3 linked regions of the Alligator mississippiensis genome follow. The protein of the gene in region 1 interacts with the protein of each later gene in a pairwise test. Links are inferred from orthologs where the notes say so. Each region holds a gene or a part of one and is shown in the gene's direction. Other genes may lie near its edges. The genes, in order: SMYD1, ZBTB44 and FAM204A.

Region 1 (7,397 bases):
CTGTCCCTCCAGAGACTCAATCTGGGCACATGTAGGACAGGCAAGGGAACCCCCAGCCCCCATGCTACCCCCAGGCCTCAGAGGTCCCGCCAGGCAACACCCGCAGACAAGGGGCCAGGGCACTGCTGACCCATCCAAGGGGCCTGTCTGGGTGGAGGCCCCACAGGAGCTCCGGGCTGGAGGCAGCAGCAGGGCAGAGGCCCTGGCTGCGCTACGTGTCACTACCCCCATAGTAGCCCTTCTCCTCATTCACTTACCTGAAGTCCCTGTCTGAAGCTCCCGTGTACTCCTGCCCATGACTGGCCTGAGAGCTGCCTGCAAACTGCTCCCCTTTGGCAGTCCCTGTTCACTGGCTCCCTGGTCACAGGCTCTCTGGTCACCTGGGGGGTCTCCTTTTATACCCTTCTGGGCCTGGGCTCACTCAGGCCGAGGCAGCAATCACACAGTCAGCAATCCCACAGCAATCAACAGTCACTTAGCACTCAGCGCTCACTTCCAGCTTCTCAGAGCACACACCTGCCAAACAAACAGACAGCCAGCTAAACCAAAGGTACAGGCAGCTGGATCACTTACCTTTTCTGGGTAGGATCTAGTGCCTGGCCTGGCTTCTCTCCCCCTCCCTCCCTCCCTCCTCTTGCCTCCAACAACTGCCTGCAAACTGCTCCCCTGTTGGCAGTTGCTGTTTGCTGGCTCCCTCATCACAGCTGGTTTTTTAACATGTAATGTTAAAAGAAAAGGTATCAAACTGCAAGGAAGTTACTAATGGACTTCTTGAAGGATCAACCTCTGGAACAATCTTGTTTAACATTTTCATTAACAGCCTTGACACTGTAGCAGGTCCAGTGCTGGGGGAGCAAAATCACCTCTCTGGGTATCTGCCTAAACTTTACTTGCCCCCTCTGACCTCTCAGGGTCCCACCCTGTTATCTTTCCTTCCATACCTTTATGTTATGATTGGACAGGGAGGGTGCCCCTAAGGTAGGGGAGTTGTGAGTGTTAGGCCCTTGTTTGGGCTGAGGCCCCCTGGCCTGGGTCCACTTTACTCTGGCTGGGCCCCTCCACCTGAGGTCCACTGTCTCAGGACTGTAGGCTCCTGGGCCCCAGCTCCAGCCACACCCTTGTAGGCTCTGGGCCTTTTGGCCCCTGGTCTCACCCTTGTGGGCTCTGGGCCCCTCAGCCCCTGGTCTTGCCCTCATGGGCTAAGGCTTGCACCCCCAATCCTTCCACTAACAGCAGCACTAGACCCTTTGAAGGGTCTAGGACCTGGTGTGTCCTTGGCACCATTCTCGGTGGCCTCCTCCACCCCTATAGCCACAATCTGGTCTTCCAGTATTTAAACACAAATGAAAAGATATGAGCATTTGCTCTCAAACAAAAGGTTCCCCATCCTGGATTAACACCACACTGTGGGAAAACCACCATGCCGGGCCCCAAAATACTTATCTTTGGCTGCCAGGTGTTGCAGGGGCTTCCTGCAGCATCCCTGCAGCCTGAAGTCCTTCCTCCTTGTCCGGTCAGGCCCTAGTCCTCCCTGGAGCTCTGCTTCCTACAGCCTGTGGGGCCAGACTGCCCAACTTGCTTCAGGTCCTGGGCTTTTATCTCTCTCTCTGGGGTACTTGAGCCACTACTTCCACCCCAGGCTTGTCAGTCACTGGCTGCACCTGAGGCAGGCAGGCATTTTATTCAAGGGCCTTCTGCCACCATCAGTTTGTCCAGGAGGCTGGAGTTGGCCAGCTGATCCTCAGCTCCCTCTCTCCTTCAGTAATGGGGTAGGAGTCCCATTGCACACACAAAATTGAGGAGTATGCTGACGGCAAAAGGTTAAAAGTATCATTCATATAGAGGTATATCTCATATCAAATCAAAACATGAAGCACTGAACTGCTATTGACTCATCTGTTTCTAACTGGTGTCCACTCTTCAACTGATGCACTTGCATTCATAGGAGTTGAGCATGAATATCAAGACAGATGTGATCAGCTTCAGCTTCTTGACTGGAAGGGATTCTTGTCTTTTGCCATTGCAGGGCTACTTCTTCGCACTCATAAGTTGGTGTGGTAGGGCACCAAGAGACAAAAGATATTGTAACAAATCCAAAGCCTTGGACTGCAGTTTCCCCTCTTCTGCACAGCGTGACTGCTCAGATGTTTGGATGGCAGCAGTACAACTCAGATCCTCTGCTTCAAAATCACAGACCCCCCCCAGTAGTGTTTAGCAATAAAGGTAGGTGTCTGGTTGGCTGGATAGCAATCAGAGCACTATTACAGATCACATGTGTGCTATGATTAGCCTGAATTTGCTTATGTTTCTGGAAGTAACTAGTTCATGCTTATCAGGCTCAGAACAACCTCGGAGTAGGTATTTATATTACTATGTGATTCCTATCGTTACTTCAGCTATTTTCACTAAAGAAGAATCTCCATTAACTCTTGGCTGCATATAAAGTCTAAGATGCAGAGTTGAGCAGTTTGGAAACTGTCCAAAAGATAGCAGTGGCACTCACGTATGCATGTGTACACACACACACATACACACCCCCCAGCACAGACAGATCTAGGAGGGTGCAGTGGTGCAGTTGCATTATCTCCTCTTCCCTCTCTTCCTGTCCCCACTTTGATTCCTGCTCCACCCAACTTTTAAACCAACTGCCTGGGTGGAGTAGCAGCATTTCTATTCAGGCAGCACTGAAGGAGTCCATTGACTTCTTGGCCCATTATCATTTCCCTGATTCCTGCTACTCTCTCTCCACTCCACGGTGTGTCAATGACTCTCTCTTTTTTTTAATGGTCCTTAATATTAACTTAAGTGTAGACATGGCTGATAGTGAAGTACTGGGAGCACTACTCAGATGCTCAAGATTTTGTTTTATGAATCTGACTAAGAGACATACATTTAAGTAGAATGACTACAGGACTAATGGCACAATATCTTTTGACTTATTTTAACTATTTTTGCCTAATTTGTTGTGTTTTTTTAAAAAACTGTGTATATAATCTATCAAATTAGCACACACTCCAATAATTGTATTTGTTTTTGCTTTGATCTTAAACTAAATCTTATAGTGCTAGCCCCCTAGCATACTAATAAAGCATCTAGGTTCTCTTTACTTGGAGAAAGATATGTGTTCTTTGATGCACCACATGAAAATCCTAGATCCATTTGTGTACACCAGCCTATTACATACTGCTCAAGGTAGATGCCACTCATCCTCCAACTCAGGCAACTTTGGGTGGGCTGACAGGTATTAACCAATTCATCTCTCGATCCCTCAGTTTACCCATCTGTTATGCAGACATAGCCCTTACTTCTCTCACAGAGGGACAGAGAGTCTACATACGTTCATGTGCGCAAGGCACTCTGAATTCCCAGTGATAGATGTGGTAAAATTACTGGGACCTTAGACATACAAAGTATTAATAAATAATACTGAAATACCAAATACCAATGCTGACTGGTTTGTTTTCACAGCAAGACTCTTCTTTCTGTTAACATCAGCAGAAATCTGGAGGGATCCCAGTGACTTCAGTGGTGTTATTTTGGTTTTACACTGATGGGTGCGGGTGAAGGGTAGAAACAATGTCCTATTTTATAAATCATTTGAGCTTGCTGGGGATATTATCCTCTTTTTACCTGCTTTGGGTCCAGTCCATCCTTTGAATTCCATGGAGTTGCATCGGGGATAAACACAGCCCTCAAGCTTGCTAGCATTTCAATGAGTTTAGTCTGTTGAACTCCTGACAGACAGCTAATATGTCATGCCTGCTTCTAAAGAGGCGCCTTCCAGCTCATTCCCTGCACTTCTCCAAGTCACTCAGTTGGCATGTGGCAAGCATCTCTCTTTTGTGCCTGTTTTCTGCAGCAGCAGATGGGGTAATTTTAGCCTGCATGTTTGACAGACCTTCCTCACCCTTGCCTCCAGCATATCTCCTGGAGGGTAAAAATAAAGCAGCATTGTTTGATTTCTGGAAGAACCTAAATGACAGTGGAAAGAACCCCAGACACACAACCCACCCACCACTTACGGCTGTCTCAGCTGTTGGCTCCTGATAGACAGAAGCATGTGGTTTCTAAAAATACCCTGTTAAAGTGAATGCATTCTCTTTCCAATGGGAGAGAATAAATTAAACTTGGTGGTCATAACATATACAAAAGCTTTCAAATGGCAGAAACAATGCCAATGAGTTTTTCAGATGGGCTTTTCCTAATGAAGCTGATGGCACTGGTAATGCATGACCAATCATTTGGCTTCTGTGCTTAGCACTGCATTAAGCTAAAGGGTTTCTCCCCCTCCCCTCCCTTCACCCTCCTATGGAAAATGGGTGGGGGGAGGAGGCAACGTAGTCCATATATAGGACTGGTCCTGGGTCAGGCTGAAGGTGTTGAAATAGCAGGAGTGACAAGAGAGTTGGCTCACTCGCATTAGGAGCTGGGGTTCCCTGACATGACAAAAGGGGGAATGGAGACGGTGGAAGTGTTCACGTCGGAAGACAAAGGCAGGGGTTTGAAGGCAGTCAAAGAATTCCTGTCTGGGGAAGTCATATTTGCGGAGCCTGCTTATGCGGCGGTGGTTTTTGATAGGTAAGAGAAAAGTTATTGTAAAGTAAATGCCAAAGCCTGCTCCTTGCAAAAGTCTGATGTGGCTGCAGCTGGTGTTAACTTGATAGAGTCTGGATAGCATCAGTGAAGGCTGAGAATCTGAGTAGTAACACTTCCTCGTGAGTCATTTGCAGCTTGCCACAACGCTCCTCTCATTAGGACAGAGTGATCATCCCGCTTGTGTGCCTTAAATACACTGTGACCTGCTACATGGACCTGAGCTTACAAAGTGCTCTCAGCTTCCTTCATTGTAGTTGGAGCTGAATTAGTTCAATGGACTGCAATATGAGCGATGCAAGTGCTGTTACAACGAGTCCCTGAGTTCGCTGTAAAAGATCCCACAAGGTGCTGCATGGTAGAGATACAGTATGTCATTGTGCTTTAATTGTGCATATGCCCCCTTAATATATACACAGAGAGAGAGGGCACTAATGCTTAAAGTCAAGAGGTCCTTAACATATTCATGTTACTGGCAGTTTATCAAAACTTGATCTTGCCTAGGTCTCTTTAGTCAATCTTTCACTCGGTGCCTCTTTAAAGACATCACCTGCTTCAAGGCAAATGGTTCGAGACAGAGAACTTGGGAATGTTTTTGTTACTGCTAAAATGGTTTTATGCTCATGCCTGAATGAATGAAGGGAAGCTGCTGTATGACAGTTATCTTTGTAAGCAGATATTAGCTTTTTTGGCTTTTGTTTAAAGTAACCAGCAAGTGAATCCTCATGTAAATGCATGTTTAGTTATGTTATTTGTCTCAAGCTCTTTATTTTTCTATAAAAAATTGGTGGATCAATTTTCTTCACAGATGTAGGCTTTGAGTACCTAATTCCGCCCTTGAGGTCAGTGGGTTCTGCCCAAATAACCTAAAAGCTTCTACACAGCAGGCCATATTCATATTATGTTAATGTGGGAAATCCAGAATAACTTCATTGACCTCAGTGGAATTACTCTACATTTATACGTGAATAATTGAGCACAGAATGTGGCCCAAACATCATAAAGGAGCAACTAACCTTCATGTGCATTGCTTTCGTTCTGTACTTCATAACGGTCTAAACATTTCTCAAAGCACCTTGTAAATGAATCCTGGGGTTGAATTCTGCTGAAAACCTCCAGTGACTTTCGAATAATGTTCTGTATGTGAAATAAGGCAGGACGTTACTTACCTACTAAAGCTTTCTTTGAAAAACATTTCTTTTAAGGAGCTCTAGGGTGGTATCAGACATTCTTTAGTTTTAACTGTCACCATGTAGTGCTTTGCTCGATCGCCCACAATTCAGTGAGCTTGTTTACTAATGCTATGTCATCAGGCAATATCAGAGAATTAATGCTGAATGAAAAAAAGAAGAAAATAAATGTGTGGACTTAGTTACGCTTGTATCTTTTCACTCGTTTTTTCTCTGTCGCTGTAATATCAGTGGGGGTACAGGAGTAAGAACCTAGGATAGTGGTAACAGAGATGTGGTCTTTATTTGCATTTTAATACGTCATTGTAAGAACTGCTCTTGGAAAAGGTGACTGCCACCACCATATAACCTGGACTTGAGTTATGCCTGTGTACCACTTCAGTTAGTCATGCTATGTCAATCCCTGAAATAGATTCAATTGACTGATGGACAGCCAAATCCTGCTCAGAGTGGGCGAGATTCTAGTGCTCATCTTTATATTAGCACCAATGCTAATTTATTGTTGAAATCAATCAGAGTCTTTCCATTACCTTCAATAGGCTTTGCATTGGGCCTTCATTTGACCCGAGGTTGCATTGGAAGCATTGGTTGGGCCAGTGGAACAGGTACTAGTTAACATGAGTAGGGGATGGCAAAATTCAATCCAATCTGCTAACTTGACTTCCATGGAAGTAGGACCAGAACTGATGATTACTGATTTATTCTTAAGCATTGTCTATGATACTGGTAATTATTCCATCCAACCTGAACTAGGCTGAGTCCCAAGGAGCCTGATTATGAACTAGGACTTTTATGAGCAGTTGGTGAATTAAAATGACTCTTAAAGAACACCCAAGTCCAGGAGGAGACAGCAGTGGATTATACACAATGCTCGGACAAGTTCTGTAAAATAAAATGGTTTGATTCATTACTTTCTCTTTAAATGACACTCCACATTGCGGCTAGTGTGAAATAAGGCAACTCCTTCAGGGCCTCATCTACAGATAGCTCATACACCCTTCGTGGGAGCCAGTTATGCTCATGCTAGAGGTCTGGCTTTTCTTCACTTGGGCATTGTCTACATGTACAAATGATGCGGGATGGGTTTACTTCAAAGTACTGTGGAGTAAACCTACCCCAGGCAGGCGTCTACACATGCTGGGATGTGGGAGCAGATTTGCTGCTTGTGGCAGCAGCCTGCACCCACCCCCTCCAGCCCTGCACCAGCCCCCTGCAGCAGTCAGGGGGAGTTCTAGGCTCACCCTGGGTGCTAGCCCTGGAGCTAGTAGGGGGCATGGGGCCAGGAGACAGCTGTCTCCTGGTGGGGACTGGGAGATTGCTCCCTGCCCCCTAGAGCTACCTGCTGCGAGGATGGGCTCTGCCACGGGAGCCTGGGTGCGGACAATGTCCCTCTGCCCTGGCTGCAGGGAGCTCCTGGCCCCGGCTCTCTAACTGGGGGCAGGGGGCTTGGAAAGAGCTGCAGAGAATCCACGCCCAGCCAGGGGCTCACTGCTATCTGTCCCACCAGCGGATCAGAGCAGAGGTCTAGGACCTGCCCCCCCAGCTTTTTCTAAGCCCTGCACCTCAATCACTCATTCAGGGCACGGGGCTGGGACGTGCCCCTGACCAGGACAG
Region 2 (7,003 bases), on another chromosome or scaffold:
CCACCTGCTCAGTGTGTGGGAATTTGGCAACCGCGATGTGTCAGTCTGGAGGTGTTAGTGTCGATTCCATCCAGACAGAAGCACTCTGATACAATTAATATCAATGCCCTTGGGATAACCTGGAGGTACCATTGCTTCTCACTGTGAAATGACCAGTTCAACAGAAAAAGCCCAGAGTAAATAAAGATGACCTTGTATCATAAGAAAAAAGAAGCCAAATTATCGGCTGGAATAAATTTGATACAGCTGCTGCATTGATTTACAAGTATCCTGCTAACAATTTGGCTTATGGAGCTCCTGTTGGAATCTTTTCTGAAGGGGTTGAGGCCTGATGAATACTTTTTAGTAAAAGCAGTCCTCTTCTGCCAGAGTGGGAAGACTCTCCTGTTAGTCAAGAGCCATCTCTTATAAACCTAAAGGATGCAAATGTGACAACTATATGCAATACAGCTATATTTACATGCCATTGATGGGCCAGGCGACAAGTGTCCCTTCCCAATGCTGTATAGTGCCCAGAGAGCTCTGCATAGTGAAACAAAACTCATTAGCAAATTCCAGCTCTGTCTCTCTGAAACCAAAATGATCTGTTGCTGATTAAAAATTCAGCAAGACACACCAACAGTTCAGCCAGGTGTTCTGGATCAGGGGCACCATTACAGGGGTTTTTTTTAAGAATAAGAAATTAAATAAGGTACAAAAGAGATCCTTCTTGCTGGGGGTCTGATTCAAAGCTCTTTAAGGCTATAGGAGACTTTCTATTGACTTCAGTAGTGGTTGGGCCAAGCGGTGAGCAAGATACTGCAGAATGAGGCATGTGGCATGAGAAGGAGGGAAGGCAAGTCAGAACTGCTGACCAGCCCCAGATGGACATTTGGCAGACTTGGCTGCCGCTGAAAGAGGGACATGTGAATGACTGCATGGAATGGTCCTGTCCCAGTATGACCGTGTGATAAATACCAAGCAGCTGCGTCATGCTGCTAAAACCTATGTAACTTGGCATCTGCACACATGCTAAGATAATGACTTCACTTTGCTTCAGTCCTACACAGCTGTCAAAGTCTGAGCAAATGAATCAGTCAGGGCTGGGAAAACAGAGCTGGAAATAGGATTTAAGCAACCCAGAAGAAGGAGGCCATGCAACTAGCAGAGCCTGCTGCACTACAACAGGTCAACAGGCCATTCTCATTGACTCGGTGGCAGTTGAGTAACCATCGCAGTCGGCTGAGTTAATCCGGCTGCTGGGTATGTACGCACAAAATCAGCCTGCTAACAAACCATGTGGTATTTGCTGTGGAAGGCAGAAGTGCCTCCTCATGGAAAGCTGAGTTCCTAATTCTGCAAATGCTTGCCCCAGCCCCTCCACGCTTGACTCCAATGGGGTTTCTCTATTGGGCATTTTCATAATTCACATGCAAAAAAATATATATCTGGATGTTAGGCCAGACCTCATTCAATGGAAATATGATGGCTTGCGCCAGCTGAGGTCCTGGGCCATGATCGCTGTCCATTCCCATGTCTTCATGCCTCCAGTGATGCATGGCTTTACCCACGACCTCCCAAACCATGCGATAAACAAGCTAGGGGTTGTTCTTTACACACTTGTACAAGGAAGAATGTGTTGCATCCCACAACCAAACTGCCTTCTTCTGGCTGACTGAGTCTTTGGCAGCATAAATCTAATTCCCTTTACACTTCCCCTGGTTTTATACTTATATAAGTCCAGGGACATCAGTAAAGTGACCCCCCCATCACAGTTCCTGGTTTGACTGAACTTGTGACCTCTTCCTACTGTCATCCTGGAGTGCCACCCTCCCTTCTCTGGTTTCATGCTTCAAGCTATCACCCGTCTCAATGCGATTCTGCCCCTTTCAGTGAAATCTCAACTACAGTCCTCAGGTACTGGCTGTGATTATCTCAGCAGGGCTGATTTAGGATTAGGACCTGCAGCTTTGGTCCTTCCAGAAACTAGGACAGCATAACAAGTCACCAGGCAGACAGTCCTCTGATTGCAAACTGGTATTTATTTAAAACAAAAGCATTTAAAAGGAAACGGATCTTAGGCAGTGAACAGTCTACACATTTGTCTGTCTTTGCTGATGGTTTCCCATTCCCTGGAAGTGCTCAATTGCTTCCAGACACTCCCAGTGGACCCAGTCTCACCTCCATCCCAGTCTGTTCTCAGCAGAAAGAACAAGCTCTCCTCCCATCTCCTCTCACCCTTCCTTTGATCTCTAACACCCACTGCTGCCCAAACAGGCTTGCATTTTTATTGGCAACAGCATACAAGATCCACGGAGCAGGGAGGGGAGCTTTTCTTGCCGCCTTTCAAGTGTGAGCCGAGATGTGTTTAGCTGGGAGCTGTTATGTTGCCTTCCTGCTTGTTCTTCCAACAGCCCATTTCTAAGCTAGATCAATACATCCAGACAGGGAAGCCTAGTAAGCCAACGTATCCACTGGGTTACTGCCTCACTGACCTGGGTGCATTCATAAAACCATCACAGATCAGTGGTCTTTGATTAGTACACACAGCTCTGTGTCTGCCACACCGCTGATTTACAAAGCTATGGGTGAGAGGAAGGTCAGGCTCAAAGGGGGTTCGCGGTCAACAGAGCAATCCCACTGTACTATGTGCTAAAATGAAGTGGACATGCCATTTACGCCTTATGCTAGTGCAAGGCGCTCCTAGGGTTGCCAGCTGTTTGAATCTATTCCGGGAGGTTTCGGGACTGCCAACATGCCTGTGACACGCGACACGAACATGCCCACGGAGCTGCAAACATCAGTTACGGATTACAGCGTGTAGACATTATATCGGGAAGGCAAATGCACGTTGCTGTTATATTTTAAAAACCCACTGAACGACTGTATAAATCGGATTCAACATTTAATATTTATTTTAATGAATGCCCTATCGTTTATTTCCCAAGTGACACTCAGCAGTTTCTTGGAGATTTAGATCTAATTCGTGCAGACTCCAGGGCAATGATGGAGGGCTGGCAACGAAGTTAGACATCAGGGTAGGGAGTGTGTTCGCTCCCCAGCCAAACTCATCTCTGCAGCTCCTTGCTCAGTGCAACCGGCATCTCCGGCCGCCTGGAGCGTAGGGCCGATCACAGCGCTCGCTGACGGCAGCTACCTCGGGAGATCTGGTTGTGCCAGCTCCTTCTTGCACAATCAATTTACTGTGATGGAGCAAAACCTAGTGTAAAGGACTCCACAGGAATCACGTTGTGCGTCCGTGCCCGACACGTGGGGAAGGCCTGCAGCTGCAGCGTTACCCAACTTTGTCACTTTACACAGCCTGACACGCCGGCCCCGCTAGGCAGGTGCAGCGGCACCACCGGGTACAACCCTGCGGCTGGGGGCAACTGCTCCGGCAGGAGTCCTGCACCTGCCCCCAGTGCTGCTGCAATCCCTGCCCTCTGCCCCCTCCACTGCTCTGCTATCTGCTCCCGCCCCATCCGCCGCTCTGCTTTCTGCCCCCTACCCCATCTGGTGCTCTGCTTTCTGCTCCCGCTCAGTCTGCTGCTCTGCTGTCTGCCCCCTGCCCCATCCTTTATTCTGCTATATGCTCCTGCCCATTCTCCTGCTCTGCTATCTGCCCCTGCCCCACCCTCTGCTCCGCTATCTACCCCAGAGCCCCGCCCTGCCAGGCCGGGCCGGGGGCACCCGCGCGTCTCTCGCGCCCGGGGTCCGGGGCAACACCGCCCCCGGTGACGTCAGACGCCCCGCCCCCACGCCGAGCCCCACTCGCTCTCCCCGCGCCGGGCACTCAGCGCGGCACGGTCCGGCCGCGGCCGCGCGTCTGCGCATGCGCCTGCCCCGGGCCGCCCGGCGCCAGCTCCCAGTGCGCCTGCGGGCGGCGCGGCCCCTCCCCCCCCCCCCGCCCGGCCGCGCTGCATTGTGGGACACAAACAAAGTGCCCGGCCAGGCCGGAGAGCGCAGCGCGACGCCTCGGCCTCGCCGCCCCGGCCAACCCCCCGCCGCCATGGCCCGGCCGCCGCCGCCGCTGCCTCCGCGCGGGGCCAGATAGGGGCTCGGCCCCACCCACCGCAGGTAACGGCGACCTCAAGGGGGCGGGGGAGGCTCGGGGCCGCTGTCGTGTCCCCCCCCGTCCCCCCGGGCCCGGAGCGCTCCTCGGGTGCCCCGCCCCCCCCCGGCCCTGCCCCCCCCCCCCCCGGTCCGGCCTCAGCGCCTCGCGCCCCGCGCCCGTCCCGCCCGACTAGGCCGGGCCGCGGCCGCGTGCCGCCGGGGTGGGCCGAGACAGTGGGTGAATCAAAAAGCGGCGTGAAGACGGTGCCCGTGAAGCGGGGTGCGCGCAGCGCCCTTTTGTTTGGCTCCAAAAGCATTGATAAAGGCGTGCTGCCTTAGGACTGAAACAGCAAACCCAGCTCGACCTGAGGAATAAAGGGGCAGCGCCAAAAACGTTACTGTGAAACCAAAGTGTCTGGTCTGGGGCAGCGAAAAAAAGAAATGGAGGATAAATGGGAGCTCCTTCTGACGGGGGGAGCCCCATTTTCCCTCGCTTCGTGCGGGTTTTGTAGGTGCGAATTCGCTATTATGCGATGGCCCTTTTTATACCAAAAATGTGTTATGCATGAGGTAAACTCGCTCTCCTGCGATCGGCGCGGCGGGAGCCCGCAGGCGGCTGCTTTGCGCGGTGCGTTGAGCTAGTGACGCGCGCCAAAACGCAGGCTCGTGCGCGGGTCTGTGTTCCTCGCCGGTTGTCTGCAACACACGTTTCCGTAGTTGCCGTCCCCGTTACGATAGCGCCCTGTGCTTGTGCGCGCTGTCTGCTGTTGGTGGGTACTGAAATGGTCTTGTGGAAGCGGTAGAAATGGGCCTGGGGGTCGGTACAGTCGAGGTCTTGGGAGGTATCTCTGTTTGTCTCTCTGTGAAATGGGCTCCCTTCTTGCGGGTTCGAGTTATGCGCCGTTTTCCAGGAACGCGTGTGCAACGTGAAGCGAGGTCCGCAGGTCGGGGGATGTGAAACTCGGGGGACTCGAGCGGGTTTGATTTCATAAAGGTGCCGTGATTATCCGTTAATTTTAAAATAATGATTACTTTGGGGCAGTTTCAAGCGTCGGTCTCTGCCAAATCTTCTTTTCAAGCCATCTTGTGTAGGTCTTTCATTTTCTTTTGAAGCACTACAGTTCCCAAGCTCTCTCAAGAGCTGGTCAGGTGTGAAGAGTTGTTGATCAGGGCTCATGGACAGAAGTGATATCTTTTATTAGACCAGCAAGATATTTGGAAAAAATTAAAGACTTTTTTTTTTTTTGCAAATATCTTGCTGGTCTAATAAAAGAGATCATCTCTGTCCGTGAGCCCTGATTTGCTTTTTCCTCTAGACCAATATAGCTACAACCTGGATATTGGACACATGGAAGAGTTGTTGATGGTATCCATTATTGGCACCATGTGTTAGATTCGTGTTCTGTTTCCTACTGTGCTAAGTGGTGACATTGTGTTTGCAGCACCCATCGCCCCAATAGCGGGGTTTAAAGTGAGACAGACAGTAGCATTTTCCTTTTGTTAATAGCCAGTTTCTCTGCAGCACCTCTATGCTTCCTTGTTTTAACAGACAAGTATGGAAGAAGTTACCAGTAGTAAGGAAGGGGAAGTACCAGCCAGTAGTCAGCTAAACAAACCAACACCTTGTGACCATATGGTCTGCGTGTACTTGCTGTGTGTGTGAGACATGAATTTTTATTGATGCACCCTTAACTTGCTAGTTATTAAAGAATCATCCCTGTTCAAGTTTTGCAGCCTCTGCAGACAGCCACAATTTGGGGATTCTGAATCCTTCAGTGCCTTAAGTGCTTAAAAACTTCTGACTGAAAGGACTTATTTAAAGTAACATAGACATGAGGAGAGTACAGGACTTAAAAGTTGTCTTATTTATGGGCAGCAACTTCACAAAACATTATTTTCAGAGATAATACTCTTTAAAAATCACTTATATCTAAGAGTGCAGAAGTTAGGTGGTGGCTGTCTTACTTGTGCACTTACATTATTGAAATGGCAAGTACTAAATTGCTAATCTGCTGAATATCTGGCAAAACTGAAAGCACTGGAAAAAAGTGAAGATTCCCTGCCCAACCTGTAAATGAAAGACGGCCTTGTGTAGATCTGTTTAAATAGCTCGTGCCCTTATTTCAAACTCCTCAGTAGTCCATGTGTTAACTTGCCTGCTTAGTAGCAAAATTGATACTGCTAGTGATGTCATCGGACAAAAACAAGCACTGAAGCATTGCTGTGTAAACTGTTTTTTGACAGTCCACAGAGTCAAATGCATAAAAATCAACACAGCTTCACTGTTACCTGTATAGAGCTGGGGAGAGGGAGGAAATGAGGGGTCTAAAGCTTTGACAGCAATTCTTCTAGCTTCCATCTCTAACCAAGTTATGGAGGAAGCAACTTAAGCTATACATTGTTTGCAGGCAGCCTCTTTATAGTAAATATTAGATACTTTAATGTAAATCACAAGTTTTAACCAATTTAAAGAGTTAGAGAAACCAAAGTTTCTGCCAGGGACTGGTTTGTTAAGTATTACTGTTGTTCACAGAACGCTATTTTCTTTGGTTCCAAAAGAATTAGTTAAGGCATGTTCCTCAAAGCACAAACTTTCTATTAAATAGATATTTGTTTTTTCTGATGTACCTGTCTGCATTGTTAGTATAACTAAATGTAGTATACACTAGCTTGCATATAAGAAGTGTTACTCCTACATTCATCTATAATAAGCAGTTTTACTGGGCAGTTTGAAAGTATTCTTGAATATCTACAGGCTGCTAAGATTGGTTGAAGATGGCTCTTCTGAACTAGACGACATATTATTGTGTGGATTGTAGATCTGCATATTTTATATATAAAATATTTTAAGCAGCTTTCCTGTAAATCAAATGGGGTTTTGCCAGGAATAAGTCTCTTGGGGAATATTTTTGGTAGCATTTACAGGTAATATACCACTAGGGAACTGGAGGACTCTTCAGATTGTTATGGA
Region 3 (6,957 bases), on another chromosome or scaffold:
ATAAACGGGATTTGGCCAGTGGGATGGCCCCAGACTATGTAATGTTGAGCTGGTGATTGGCCTCATGGTTTTTCAGATGGAAGGCATATACTTGTATTTTCTCTGGGTTGGTGTGTAGTTGGTTTTCAATGTAGTATGAGGTTAGGCCAATTTGTGCCTCACTTAGGGATTTTTCAAAGCCAGGTTTTGGTCTGTTATGCACAGGTTGTCTGCATAGATGAAACATTTTGTTTCCAAACCAAATGGCTGATCAGTTGTATAGCTGATATATAACAGTGGGACAAGTACACCTCCTTGAGGGAGGACATTCATCTGTTGCCTCCATCTGCTTCACTTCCCATCCAGTTTGACAAAAAAAAAAGTCTGTTTTTGAGTAGGGTTCATAGCAGCTCTATAAAGTGTAAATCTTTTGTCATTTCCAGGGTAGGGTCTTGTGGAGGAGTCATCTGTGGTTAACCATACTGTAGGTGGCTGTTAGGTTAACGAACATAACTCCAGTGATTTGGCCACTTTCAAAAACATCCTCAATATGTTGAGTTAAATTGAGCAGCTGGCTCGTTCCTGATTTTCCACAATGAAAGCTGCCCTGTTTAGGGATTAGGTGTTTATCCACATATGGAGCAAGCTGGTTCAATATGAGTCGTTCATACAATTTGTATGTGTGGCATAGCATAGACAGGTCTGAAGCAGTTTGAGTCATTCCCTGGCTTTAGAAGTGTCACTCCCTGAGCATGGTGCCATATCTTTGGCATTTTTTGACTGGCTGTGCATAAGTTGTATAGAGAGAGGAGCCATACTCAAGTCTGGTGTCCAAATTGATTGACTTGTTTGGTAAGTACATTGTTAAGGCCAGCTGCTTTCCTGGTCTCCGGTGCATTGATACCAGCATTCAACTCTGTCATTGAGAAGGGGCTTGTAAAACCCAGGTCTTTTGGGTGCTTGTATCTTTCCAGTCTAAGTTTTTTTTTAATTTGTTTTTGGTGTGGGGGCTTTTTCCACTGAGAAGCATCTGGTGAGCAATTTGGTTAGCAGTGACATTATGAAATTCTGCCTTTTGTGGGTCATTGCTCGGTTGACGTATTGTCACCCATGCCTTTTTACCATTAGGACTCATATCAGTTGAAACAATCAGGGTCTGCCAGGATTTCCTGCATTCTTCTGTGATGGCTAACATGAACTCCCTGCCTCTAGCTATGACGTTTGTGGAAAAAGGCTGTAGTTCACACTGTTGCCTGTAGTCTTCATATAGCCCAGTGATTTCTGGAGTGAGGCCTGAGACATAATTCTTGCACTAGCCCCACAGATGTTTTTCCTTGCAGACTTCTGTACAGCTTTTATGAATTGGTCTTAGTCCTCGGGCAATGTTTTGATGGTTTCGACTGTGGCATCTAGGTATTCTGAAAAGCTTTTCCAGTTGCCTTTTTAAAGTCGAAACATTGGCAAAATGGCACTGTTATAGGTGTTACTGAGGCTTTGATCTGAATGTCAATTGGCTGATGCTAGGATGTGGAGTGGAGTCTAATACCGTTTTATTACTTAGCCCAGTGATGGTGTTGCCAGTAAATATAAGGTCTGGGTTGTATCTTCATTTCCAGGGGCCACTGTTGAATGATTTAGGTAGCTTTGGGTCATGAATCAAACTCAGCTGATATGCATCTGACCAAGCTTCTACTACTTTGCTGTCTTTATTGGTCTCATTGTAGCCCCATTGTGGTTTATTCTGAGTGATACCTGGTGTATCTTTAATGGTGAAACTCGTGTTAGGTGGTTTGTAGGCTGAAGTGATTGTAATTCCATTGAGTTCAACGGTCAGGATTTCATTGTTGTTTTCTTCAATCTTTCCCGTAGAAATGATGACTCTTCCAGATTTGGCAAATACGGCACTTCCAAATTTCTTGGGTGGTCTTTCAATTGCCATAGTCATTCCAGGTATTGAAGGACAGTTATTATGAGGCCCTCGGTGTGTCACTTCTAAGCACAAGAGATCACACTGGACTTCCTTACATAGATTTAAATTAGTTCTTTTTTCACGAGTGAAAACCCCTCAGCCCTCTGCGGACAGTATTGTTAAAGCTGGCCCTAAGGAGGGCTCATGTCTACTTTGGTCATAGGGCCAAACTGATTGGTTGTAACTGACTAGTTACATTGGTCAATTTAACCAACCGACTGGTTACTGACTGGTTACATTGGTCAATTTGCAGGGTCCAAATCGTGGTTTGTTGTGTTAGCAGAATTTCCAGGTGTTACCTGACACGTCATATCCATCACATTACCCTCCTGTCTTTGAGTCCCTTTGTTGTGGCACCAATGAAAGCCCTAGCACCCCTCATAGCTATTCATCCCATGGTTTTCTCTACACTAGGGGTAGGCAGCCCCTGGCATGGGTGGCAGAGCATGGCATGCGAAGGCATTTTGCTTGGCATGCGCCCCTCAGGGCAGAAAGCAGGGAAGAGGCTAGGGTTGCACTACCACAAAGATCAGGCCCCTCGCGGCTTCCCTGCTGCCCGCCCCTGGCACACCAATATCTTACAAGTCGAGGTTGCAGGTGTTTTTGGCACTCTACCCAAAAACAGTGCCAGCCCCAGCTCGACACGTAGGGCAGCTTCACCACACTCGCTAAGGCATTGCCCATGCCCTTCTGGGGTCCCCTCCTGCCTGCACCTCCCTGCTCAGCCCTGGGGCTTTAGCCACATGCTTGACAGCGATGCCCAGGCGAGGCCCCCGCCGCCCTGAATGAGGGGCAGCCCCCAAATCCCACCCCTCCCACACACAGCGGTCCCTCCCTCCCTCCTCCCTTCCCCCATCAGGCTACACGGTAGCAATCCCCCCTCGTGAGCGGGGATCCTGGTTTTCTCCGATTAAAAATAAATCCCCAACTTTCGGTTTTTAAAAAAAGTAACCCCAAATCCACATTTTCCATGATTAAATTGAAACTTCACTATATATCTATATATATTTATATCAGCGGTTCCCAGTCTGTGGTGTGGGTACCACCCGTGGTACGCAGACAACCTGTCAGCGGTACACAGTAACAGACTTATTATAATGACTTTACATGACAAAAATGTGCCGGCGGTACTTAAGGTTGTATCGTTTGACATTGGTGGTGCGCCGCCTGTCCGTTTGGGAACCGCTGATCTATGTAGCAGTGGTGTTTCACTTAAATCACGGGAAAATACGGATTTGAGGTCACTTATTTTAAAACGAAAATTGTGGGGGGGGGGTGTTTTTTTAAATCAGAGAAAACCAGGATCCCTGTTTTCGGTTTAAAAAAAAAAAATCCCACATCTACGTTTTCCATGGTTAAAATGAAACGTCAACGATATCTCTGTATATTTGTGGCGTTTCACTTAAATCACGGGGAAATGTGGATTTGGGGTTTGTTTTTTTAACTAAAATTGGGGATTTTTTTTTTTTTTAAATCGGAGAAAACCAGGATCCCTGTTTTCGGTTAAAAAAAAGTAACCCCAAATCTACATCTATCCGTGATTAAAATGAAGCATCACTCTCTAGATAGATGGATCAAATAATCTCTCGATATCTCTATGTATATCTATAGACGCAGCTATCTATATCTATAGATATCCATCTATATAGCTATAGATATATATAGATATAGATGTCTATATCTACATATATAGATGTCTATAGATGTCTATATCTACATAGAGATGTTTATATCTATATATATAGATATAGATGTCTATAGCTATAGACGTTAGTGGCGTTTCACTTAAGCCGTGGGGGGACGTGGATTTGGGGTGACTTCCGTCCCCGAGCACTGGGGACGTTTGCGCCCCGCCCCCACCCCGGCCGCGCTCCCGCGGGATCTGCCGCCCCTACCCACTCCCCCGCCCCCACCAACCCGGAGGCTGGTTGTCATGGCGACCCTAGGCAGCAAAGCGGCTGCTGATTGGCCGAGAGGCGGAGCCCAATAGCGGGCCGCGGTGTTAGTGGAGTGTCAAGATGGCGGCGCGGTAAACACGGCCGGTGAGCGAGGCGCGGCGGTGGCGGCCGGGCTTGGGGCAGGCTGCGGTGGGCGTCAGATGGCTCCTTCTCGGGGCACCGCTGGGAGCAGCCCCCGAGCGTGGGGCGGCCTCTCCCCCTCCTCGTCCTCTGGGAGCCGCGTTTGTCCCGCGGATGCACTCGTGGGAGGGGGGTCAGGTAAAGGCCGGTCCTGGCGCGCGGTGGGGGGCCGCGAGGAGCGGAGAGCTGGTGCGCGGGGTCTCACCCTGCGAGCCCGGAGCTGGAGGGTTGGGGCCGGTCACTGGCCTGTCATTGGCCCCTTCTCCAGGGTCTGCAGACAACAGCGCTGGGATGGTCGGCCGGAGCCGGCAGCACCTGTGTGCCAGTCGTGGCACCATCGAGCTGATTCTTGCCTGGGGTGTATATACATACACTCGCATTTCCCTTTACCACAAAAAAGCACGTCTGTGAGAGAGGGGTGAGGCCCGTCTCGGGTGGGGTCAAGGAGGGTGTTTCCGACATCTTTCTGCTCACGTCTTGCCTTGCCCGGGTGCTGCTTCTCTTTCTCTTTCCTCCCCACCCAGCTCTTTTTCTGAAGACTAGAGCTTAGTTGGAAGGAAGCTTCCTATTCACTTTTCAGGCAGACTCGAAAAGTATCTGGGACATAATCCTGCTCTTGGAGCAAAATCGATTTAAGAGATTTCAGTACTCAAGACTCAGAAGTAGAACGGGATCCGGTCCCGCCGCGACACGATCTATCTTTGCGCGTTGTATTTTTAAGCGAGATGCACGAGGCCGTGTTTTAACAGTGAGTGCGAAAGCCAATGTAGATTTTAAATGCTCGTTTTCCAAATTCGTTTGTATGCATTTTAAACAGAAATCCAGTCCTCGGTATGCTTCAGAATTTGTCTAAAGTGAGCATCTTCCGAACTGTAATGGTTTTGTTCTCTAGCAGCAGACGTTGTCATATTGTTTAAATGAAAAAGTGAGTTGTTTTTGTCTGTCCTGTTTATCCAAAATGGAGTTTTTAAAACGTGCGAGTGTAAGCTGCCCTTGTTTACGAGACTTAAGATGTTCGACGTTAATTCTAAGCTTGCCTAAATCACTTAAAACTCATCTCCTGGAAGTAAGATTACGTTTTCTTCTTGTCAAAAGTGTTTAAATTATTTGTAATGCTGTATTTCATTATTTCTAAATCGCTGTTCTTCAGCAGACTAGCTGTATTTTTAGCTGCAGATTCTAGGTAAATTCACATGATGTTTTTGGTGTCTTGCTCTTGCTTAGACTAGAAGATGTGGAGTGGGCTTTTACCACCAGGTGTGAATGAAAGTGATGTTGACTTGAGCTCTGATGATGGAGATGCAGCAGATGGTCCTGCATCGTGCACAAAGGATGATAGAGAAGAGGCTGTCAAGGGAATTCAATTGTCTGATTTCCAGATAGATGGACCTGAAAGTACTTCTGTATCAGTGACAGATGGAGAAAATACATGTCAACCATGCCCTTCTGGAATTTCTTTAAATATGTGGAATGTGGGTATGATTAGATATTTCTAAATGTCCAAAATATAAGTGTAACGTACTTCAGTGTTGCATAGATAATATTTATTCAGTATGACATTTTATAAATATTTTTGTAAGAATTGAATGAAAATATTTGAATTCAGATATTTTATAGTGAATGTGTGTAGGACAAATACAAAGCAGTTTGAATAAAATGTAATCTGTGACCTACTAGAAACAAGTTCAAGGATCTGTTCTGAGGGACTTTGAGGCAGGTATTTTAACCCTTTTTTTTTTCTTTGCTTTCTTAACTGATTGGTAAATTGAAGGGTAGAGGAGAGAAATGATGTAGGCATAACAGATTCATTAGTTTTCTGTTTGCTTTGGAATCTGGGCACCTGAAATACTTTTTCAACTGTATTTTCTTTTTTAAGACTAGCAGTTAAGCATATGTCCAATCTGCATAATAGGTCAGACCTATTTAGCAAAAATTGTGTATCCATAAATTCCATTTTAAACTCTGCCATTCTCTATCAAAATGTAATTGGATTACAAAACCTTTTTTGTGATTTGTGCATCAGAGAAGACTGAGTATATCATGCTAATGAGCTCTGACCAGTCTACACTGATGCCTAACAATGGGGTTAGAATTCTGCATAAGGATTGGTAAAAACAAGTGTGTATCTATAGGTCCATATCTATAGGTATCAGTCCATATCTATAGGTAATCATACAAGGTGTTTGCTGCCAATCATCTGTGGATGACAAAGCACTAGCTAAACTGAATATTAGAAGACTGTGTATTGCTCAGTGTTATACCTTTGATATATTTAATGTTGGTTGTGCATTTTATGAAAAAAAAACTTTTGAGAATGTTCTGAAGAACTGGGGGGATTATGGTAAAGGCACTAGGAGGTTATAGAGATTATGCAGGGATGAAGATCAGAGTTAGTTGTGTGTAACATTTGCCACTCAATACCAGCAGAGAACTGACTGTCACAGTATATAAAGGGTCCCCATAATAGTGAGATTTTAAAAAATAAAATGAGAATTTGAGTAACATTTTCAAATACTTTTTGCTTCACTAAAAAAACAAAACAACCAACAAATATTTGGAGTTTGCTTTTCCTTCTTCCCACAGAAATTTCTGGAGCTGCAGAAGAAAAAATGTGAAATGAAAGCCCAAGCAAATGAGAGAAAGAAGGGGAAAAAAAGAAAACGTTCCAGAAAAGGTGTTTTGGGAGAGTTAATATAAAAGCATTTCGGTTTGATAAAGCCAGTTGAAAATATTGTATTCTTTCAGTAGTTGTAAGACAGCTAAAGGACAACATTCATGACACTTACTGTGTCAATGACGATGCAGGGTTTTTTTGACTGAATTGTGAGAACTGGGCACTGAAGGAAGAGATTGGCCTGTGTTATGGGATAGGGGATGGGGAGTGGCTACTAAGTTGTACACCATTAGCTGCTGGGGTCTAACAGTTACATT

What was found.
Region 2: the proteins of SMYD1 (region 1) and ZBTB44 interact in binary tests that used the Homo sapiens proteins (3 or more experiments, as listed by UniProt). The link is inferred for Alligator mississippiensis from reciprocal best matches to the Homo sapiens genes SMYD1 and ZBTB44.
Region 3: the proteins of SMYD1 (region 1) and FAM204A interact in binary tests that used the Homo sapiens proteins (3 or more experiments, as listed by UniProt). The link is inferred for Alligator mississippiensis from reciprocal best matches to the Homo sapiens genes SMYD1 and FAM204A.

The regions. Positions count from the first base shown.
Region 1 is NC_081825.1:14,314,486-14,321,882, reverse strand, and holds the start of SMYD1 (histone-lysine N-methyltransferase SMYD1), read left to right. Parts: upstream 1-4,370; 5' UTR 4,371-4,441; coding exon 4,442-4,578; intron 4,579-7,397. UniProt on the Homo sapiens protein: Methylates histone H3 at 'Lys-4' (H3K4me), seems able to perform both mono-, di-, and trimethylation. Acts as a transcriptional repressor. Essential for cardiomyocyte differentiation and cardiac morphogenesis.
Region 2 is NC_081839.1:25,691,301-25,698,303, reverse strand, and holds the start of ZBTB44 (zinc finger and BTB domain-containing protein 44), read left to right. Parts: upstream 1-3,967; 5' UTR 3,968-4,056; intron 4,057-7,003. UniProt on the Homo sapiens protein: May be involved in transcriptional regulation.
Region 3 is NC_081829.1:88,520,503-88,527,459, forward strand, and holds the start of FAM204A (protein FAM204A), read left to right. Parts: upstream 1-3,913; 5' UTR 3,914-3,990; intron 3,991-4,058; exon of another isoform or gene 4,059-4,164; intron 4,165-4,441; exon of another isoform or gene 4,442-4,774; intron 4,775-5,250; 5' UTR 5,251-5,258; coding exon 5,259-5,498; intron 5,499-6,609; coding exon 6,610-6,700; intron 6,701-6,957.